2 linked regions of the Drosophila melanogaster genome follow. The protein of the gene in region 2 interacts with the protein of the main gene of each other region in a pairwise test. Each region holds a gene or a part of one and is shown on either strand. Other genes may lie near its edges.

Region 1 (3,691 bases), on a different chromosome or scaffold from region 2:
AGCGTGCCCGAGCGAGAGGTGTGTGATATATGATATAGAGACGCAAACACCGTCAATTGTTTGATTGATAACGAAAACAGTTTCTTGTTCCCGCTCCTGATTCGACTTCCATATCGGGATCGGGCACCCGAGTTCCTCTTTGCGCTCGCCATTCGCTCTAATTATTTCGTGATTCCTCATTAATTGGTGTTTTTGGGCGTGACATGTGATGGGTAGATAGACAGTTCACCATCGGTTTCCGCACGAGCACCACGCACTCAATAAACAATTATTTGAATATTATTAATCCTACAAAATGCTGGTCTATATGGGTACCAAACGGCATTTTGATTATCTTTGATTGTGCTTTAATGGGGCAGTTATGTTTTGTTTTATTATTAGGCCTGGCTAGTACAAAGCGGCTAGAAGTTAAATATATTTTCACATACTCATCATTTAAAAACAAAAGTGTGCTTATGAGATTATGTTTACCATCCGTCTAATGAGAAACTTCTATACTTCACTGAATAATCATTGCTCAGTTACAAGCATATTTTATTCTTAAAATTCGTGCATTAGTATTTTATTGAAAGCAGTACATTTTATATGTCATGGTATTACAAATTTTCTTTCCCAGAGAACGTTAGGAATCACTTTAGCAATAGTATTCTTTATATATATATAATGTATAGCGAACTAGCACTGGAAGGCCCCTCGATTGTTCAACCATTTGAGAATGGCGCTAACGTGCTTCTTATATCGGGCATTGGAGTACATAGCCAACTTTAGACCATCGCCATTATCCGTCTCGGTGACGAAATCGGTCAGATTTGCATCTTCAGTCCGATCGAGCAGCACTGGTGGGCAGAGAATAAAAGCAATGTGATACCCTACGATTGGAAAAGAAATCAGAACTTGGTTATCTACAGCTTTGCAGAGCGAGGTTTCCACTTACCAACTCGTCCATATTTCAATAGCTGAGTATGGAGGAACCCCAACGTGGGGGTTTTTGCTTCGGGGTAGTTCAGCATTCTCAAGTGCTCGACCAGGTGATCGTGGTAGTACTTGATGAAGTAATCGAACTGACTCAATTGGATTTCGAATTTCGTCGAGCCCAGGAGGAAATAGATCAGATCATATGCCACGCTCGTGACCTTGGGCAGTTGGAGATCCACGAAATATGTCTCGATCGGTTCGGGCGACTCGTCCTCGTACTTAAACATGATGTTGCTGGTCCAGCAATCTCCATGATTCAGAGCATTGAAGTCCTGCGGATCGGGCGTGTTCATAGCATACATAAGGTCGACGATTTTAGGTTGCATCTTGTGCTGTACAAATAGATTATTTTGTGATGAACCGTGCAACCAATTGGTGCATATAGCTAAAGAAACATACAACCGCCGCACTGTACTCCTCGTAACCCTCGTAGAGTGGCAGGCACTTGAGGAAATACTTGCCCAAGGTTTCAGCCACCTGTTCGATGCTCTCCTTCATGGTATCGGCGTACGTGGGTTGCAAGTAGTTCTGGGGGTACGGACCCTTGAGATGGATCCTGGTGGCCGATACCGCATGCCACTGGGCCATCTTCTTTAGAACACACTTGGTGTGAACCATGTCTAGGCCCTCCAGGCGATCGACGTTCCTGAAACCCAAAGGACCCAGATCCTGCAGAAGTACGTAATCATCGGGCGCGTCGATTTCATAAGCCTTGGCCCCAAACTTGACCTCCACGCCCACATCCTTGTACATCTGTTCCAGCTCGGGAATCACCTGAATGAACACATCCCTCTCCACAGCAAACATGTTGTTCTTCCTCAGAATCTCGCGATACATCTCGAAATCATAGGGAGTCTTCAGCATATAGCTCACATTTTCGATTGTGTGATCTGATGATGGAAATTTCTGCTTGACTTTCCATTGTTCACCTGTGACTCACACTCACCCTGCAGTTCGACTTCAAGCTTGAGGCGCAGCATAATTGTGGAGTAGTTTTCTCCCGGCTTGAGCCCGGCTTCCGGCTTGAAACTTTTGATTCCGGCATAATTGCCGCCGTAACGTTTACTTAGCAATTCTTCGAATAGATTTGCTCTCAGCCAGGTGGGCATAGGCGCTGTTCCTGTCTCAGCCGTCATTCTAAGCAAACTAAGAGTTTATTTGCCGGCTGGTCCCGTACAAACATGTGAGCAAAACTTTTTTTCTCTGTATCTTTGTTTGCTACCAAAACAAATGCCAATACGAAAGCTCCAAAAGCTTGTCGGAAAACAAAGAGAGTGCTGGATATGGAGAGTTCTCAAAACAACTTGTTTTCAAAGTCTCGAGTGATACATACATATAGACCAAAACAAACGTGGGGGGATGCATTTATACCCATATAGAAGCTTGTCTGTCATATAAGTGTAAGTATTTAAAGACAATAAAAATAATTGTATGACCATAAAAAAAAATGCTTATAACTATACTTATAGTTATATTTACCTATATGTAAACTCCGGAACAAGTTTTTTATTAACCACAATGTTTGTTAAACACTAGTTAGGTCTTTATTAGATATTACACAATATGCTACTTCTACTATACTGTATATATAAACCTTGAGTGTAATTTTTTCGTTATACGCCATACGATTTAATATTGTGCATTCTAAGTATCTATTCCATAGCTCCGCGATGCTGAAGCCATGGCAATAGAACCTCCATATGTTTGCGAAATCTGGGATTAATGTATAGCGAGTTCTTAAAGCTACAGTCGTCATCACCAAGAACCTTATCAAAATCGGCTCCGTCCACGGGATCCAGGAGGACATATGCCAATATAGTTGCGGTGCAGATGAACGCTGAAATGTTTTTTTTTATAAGATCTGAACTAATGATTAAGTAACGATTGAAAACTTACACCATCCACTGTATTTGTTGAGAGCGTCGTTAATTCTTCTTAAAGTGGGAAGAGTTTTCGAATATCCAAGCAATTTCAGATGCTTTACCAATTCGGAGTGGTAAAACCATATGAAGTAATCAAACTTTGATGTTTTTATGTCCAAGCTTGTAGAGGACAAAAGAAAGTAGTATAGATCCTGGGTCACTGATCCCCACTTAGGGACTTGCAGATCGACAAAGTAGGTATCCTGTATCTCGCCTTTCGTATTGTACTGGGACATAATGTTGTTGGCCCAACCATCGCCATGGTTTAACGCAATAAATTCATCAGGACTCGGATTGTTGAGGCTCTCCACAATTTCGAATGTCTTGCCGGAGACAATGCGCTGTAATTAATGATAAGATAGAAGACTTGAAGATACGAATATCAAAAGATAAATTACCCACCAGATCATTTAGATAAGTTTCGTAACCCTTGCACAGATGGACGTTATCCAGAAAAACTTTTATGCTCCGATTAATAAAGGCATCTACGATTTCCTCGTTCCTTAAAAAACCCTTTGTGTACTTCTCCTGATAAGGACCCTTTGTTTCTACGCGAACGGCAGAGGCCGCATGCCATTGGGCAAATTTCTTGAGAACACATTCGGTGTGAGCCTGGTCCATGCCTTCGAGGCGATCTATGTTCCCGAATCCACGTGGCCGAAGATCCTCCAGCAGGACGTAGTAGTCGCTGGCCTCTATGTCGTAGAGTTCAGCTCCAAATTTGACCTCCAATCCCACATCGCGATACAGTTGCTCCAGCTCGGGCACTACTTCCACATACATTCCTCGCTCCA
Region 2 (4,609 bases):
ATTCTATTTTTAGAATTCCAACTTCAAATTCAAATAGGTGTTGTCAAGGACTGAACATGCAATGTACTAGGAAAATAGATTGTTACGAAAGTAACACTGACTAAAAAAAATATATAATATTTCGCTTAGATACAATTATAACAGAATTAGAGAAAAAAACAGTTTTACCACGGCGGATTTGTAGGCTTCTATGACATAGAAATAATTGCAGACCAACACACTTTGTAAAAATCAATACGAACAAATTTCAAAGTCGCATAGGAAATGGCCATAAATTGTTGATTGGATCGATTCAATTGAGAACGAGGACGATTCGGTTAGGGAACCTACGTGCATCGAACATTCGGGAATCAATACGACAACTTTAAGAAACTTGCCAGAACAAATTTCACTCATATTAAATTTCGCCAGAGAGGAGATAATTGTATCAGATTTATTTCAGAGGCGCCGTGCTTGACAACACATTATTTTCTTTGATCTTGCTGTTTAAGCAAGAAAATGCTATATGAATCATAAATGTATCTTATGTGTGTAGAAACATATGTGGAAAGTTTTTTTTTCGCAGCAAGTTGATCAAGTGAGATCATTTTATTGCATTGAGCTGTAATTTAATTGAACCGAACGGAAGGCGACAATGAAATGCAACGAATAAATTAGTGTACACGAAGTTAAGTAAAATATATGTACATATGTATGTAGAAGAAACCGACCCACTAAATGTGTGCTAACAACATACATACTTAAATCGTAAGAAATGTACTGCAAATAAGGTAAATACCCTTTATTATTGGTAAGCAGTGTTCTTGAACAACTCGCACTACATTTTATTGAAACAGTTGTTAGTTATTTGTAATTACTGGCAATTAACTTACAAAAGGGCTAAGTTATTCAAGTGCTTTGTTGTGAAAATTCCCTACCTGCTATTATTAAGACCATCGTAAGAATTCAGGATTTCAAGCCGTTTCCAATCGACTTCGATCAGCAATTTGTTGGCCACTCAAACGAGAAGCGTGCAAGTTGAAGTTGAAACATTAAACAGATCTTCTCTAGAGGCTCTCACTTAGGAAACCCCCTGTGCTCGAAAAGCAAAACCAGTTTAGCACCGGTCAATAAATTTCAGCTCAAGATTTTTGCAACTTGTTTTTTTGTTCGCCAAACAAAACAAACCGAAAACCAAGGCTCAGAGATTGAGTTTGACCCACATTTAATCACTTTGAAACACAATTAAATAAATAATATAGAATAGTCGGAATATCAAATAAGAATCATATTCATTGGTCCCATTAGGTAATGCCGCAAAATAAATCCCCATGCTAAGTTCAGACACATTTTGCGCGTATTATACGAAAGAATATATCGAAATAAACATTTCAGATCTGCGTCTGCAATTGTTTTTCCTTTTGCGTCATTCCATGTCACGTGTGGGGGCGGGGCCCACAAAAAAAGATGTATTTTCTTCAAGGTAATATGGAGATTATAAGCCAAAATGTGAGTAAACATTTGTTCGAGAGCCAAAGTGCTAGGCGATTCTAAAAATATACGTAAAGTACTTTGAATTCTAATGCAGACATTCATCTGCTTTTGGAATTTGAACTTCAAATGCATAGTACTCAAATGATCGTTGGACTCTCTGTTTTGAAAAATGGGGTGACATTTGTGAAACAAAACGCATAATGAATTTATCAGCTTTATCTAGTTCCATTTCATTCATTACTGAAACAGGGTTTTACTATTTTACGCTGGGTCTATTAATCAGATAGAGGTGCCAACAATAAATAGTGAATAACAATAATTATAATATCTATAAATCTACAACGAAATTCCTCGCCTGATCATTTCAAGCAGCTTCTGTCTAAATATTCTCTGCACTTTCTAGGTTCCATAAAGTCTGTTTGCAATCCTCGCGCTTCTGGAAATTCCAGAATCAACGTTATCACACGTTTATAACTCTGCTCTTCAATAAAAAGACGAATTGTGACGGATTCTTAAAAAAGTTAAGCGCTTTTAAGCCTTTCCACTAATTGCCTTGAGAAACCTGGGGCATGCTAATTATTTTGCTGAATCTGAATAATTTTGTACATATTGTTATCTTTCGGTGTCGTCATTCAGTTTTTCGGTCAGGTGGTTGTCCACACACGAGAGAGATAATGCATACATATAATACATATAATACATATGGGGAGAATGTGGGGGAAGAAAGCGGTGTCACTTCCGAAGATTTGCACAAAAGTGCGCTGCTTCAGTTAGATAACAGATGGGGAAATGGAGATATCATACCAGCAGAATAATAAAAAACTGGTCATGGGTTGTTAAGTGGGTGTGTAAACAGTATGACGACACTTTATAGATTGAGCACTCAAACAAGCTGCTCAATAAGAGAGCAAAATGATTGGAAGTGTTTTTATATAAGTACTTATTTTCTAGGGAGTGGAATATATCTCCAAAGTCGGGAACAGAAGCACTTCGGCTAAGGAGCACAATAGCAGCACATGTGATCTCAAAATCATTTTAAAATTGATAAAACACTTGGTTTTGGACTTTGTTTACATAACACTCTCTTACCTAACCCGATTGCCACGCGCTACTCAAACTCGAAACCAGGTTTTCAGTCGGATCTTAACAGTTCGTCGCGAAAAGTCCTAGGGGCTTGCCGGGCATTAAGGCAGGTTCTCAAGGTCAACGAAAAGCAATTAACCGGAAAAGACGAAATGCCGCCACGTTCCCAAATTTCTAGCTGCAAACCACTTATCACTAATCACCTGCCTAATCACAAGTAATTACCGCTTTCTCAAAATCAAACTTACCATTTTTGTAGTTTCGGTCGCCATGGTTGGGGATCTATATGGTATAGATACTATTGGTATATCTGAAGAATTGATCACGCCGTTTCTCTTTCAGCACAACCGTAAGCGATTATTTCATAATTTCCACCACCGCGCCGAAAAATAACATATATATATATATATATTCGTTGGCTAGACCACTTTTTATGAATATGTTGCTTTGCGTTCGACGACTAATATGCGAATGCTACCAAAACTCAAAACCAAACCCAAACGATTTTCTTTCGCATTCTCCTCTCTCTCTCTCTCTCACTCGCTCTCTCTCTCTTTTAAGCCCTGGACATGGAAAATATCTGATAAGTTGTCGTTGTCTCTGTGGGCAAATACAAATACTTTAATACGCTAAGAGACACATTTAAACTTGTTTTTGCTGTGCATGCTTCTTTGTAGGGGCGTATTTACTATATTCTACACAGGTATATCTACATATCGTTCGTACACTTAAAGTATTTTTTACCTAGTTGACCTTTATGGTAAATTAAAATATTCGGAAGGGTTACTTTAATATTTTTATATAAATATTTTTAAAAGTGCTCTTTATTTAAGCCATGTTAATACTTTGATACTTTGTAATTTTAACAGGCAGTCAAAAACCCTTTTCAAACAATTTTTGGTATACTCCGCATGTAATTGAAATTTATTTTACGTTTGTCAAATGTAGAACAACGCGATATATACATACTCTGGCCTTGAAATTTAATTAAATGTTGTTTGAATATGCTTTGTAGTTCCTATAGTCTCTTTGACTCACCGTGCAAATTGCTAATGCATTTTTCGAGACCGGTGTAACTTGGCATTTCATTAATTTAGGATTATGTTGTCGATACAGACTGTTCTATTTAGCATAAGTCAGCGACTCATGCCCATGTTGATGAATTTTAATATGTGAGTATGAAAAGCCTTTTCCAAAGACTCAAAACGGAACACTCAGCTGGCAAAGGGTGTATGTTGATGTTCCTTCAGCGTTTTGTGGTTGTCTGAAATTAAATTTCTTTTTATATCAAAGTGCAAAAATAGCTTAAAAAGTCGATCTTACCTGTCATTTTCACTGATGAGAAGTGGGTTCCGGTGATCTGCCAGGACCAGGAGATATACTGAGTCTGGCTATAAAATATATGATATAATTCAAAACGACCCCAGCATTACTCCGTATGGAAGTTAAAGAATGCAGTTTTAAGTAACGAAAAATAGCCACCACACATTTAGAAATGTTTTGATTTATTTTATATTGTTATCTTTATTGCCACTATGTTTCTATATTTCCAACGAATTTTAAATGTCTTATATTATAGGAACTCGAGCTCCTCTAGTTTTGAATGTCTGTCTTACTTTTCCTTTTTTCACTCCTCTCTTCAGGATTTGAATAAATTATGATGGTCTTCCTAATAAAAATCCATAAGTTGAAAAATTTTAATGTTTTCAAATATAAAGAATACAAACTGACTTTAAAGAAGATACAGTCTTATTGAAAAAAAATTAAGTTGCCTTACTTTTCTCTTGCTCTTACTTTCTCACTTCTCTGATCACTTCCGATCGAAATTTTCGATGGCATAAAGCGTGTTTATGCTAGATATTTTTTTTGCACGCCGTGGTACCTGAAGAAATACATTCTGAGTGCATGAATCATGTGTCTAAACTCAAATCTTTACCTAAACTATCACTGTTAATTTGTGATTAATTCTTGGCAGAATCAGGATCAATTGTAATGGGGAAAACGAAATCTTTCATTTTTTTCCGCATTCCTAGTCTGATGCCAGTGCAACTAA

What was found.
Region 1: the proteins of Indy (region 2) and CG10559 interact in a two-hybrid assay, tested with the Drosophila melanogaster proteins (one large-scale study listed by BioGRID).

The regions. Positions count from the first base shown.
Region 1 is NT_033777.3:25,313,994-25,317,684, forward strand, and holds CG10559 (uncharacterized protein), read right to left. Parts: upstream 2,124-3,691; 5' UTR 2,112-2,123; coding exon 1,922-2,111; intron 1,866-1,921; coding exon 1,375-1,865; intron 1,308-1,374; coding exon 935-1,307; intron 870-934; coding exon 676-869; 3' UTR 501-675; downstream 1-500. Other genes in the region: CG10553 (uncharacterized protein), read right to left, coding at 2,628-2,812, 2,872-3,238, 3,300-3,691.
Region 2 is NT_037436.4:18,843,232-18,847,840, forward strand, and holds the start of Indy (I'm not dead yet), read right to left. Parts: upstream 3,037-4,609; 5' UTR 2,829-3,036; coding exon 2,805-2,828; intron 1-2,804. UniProt on the Drosophila melanogaster protein: Cation-independent electroneutral transporter (not associated with membrane depolarization) of a variety of tricarboxylic and dicarboxylic acid-cycle intermediates. There is also small, but detectable, transport of monocarboxylics.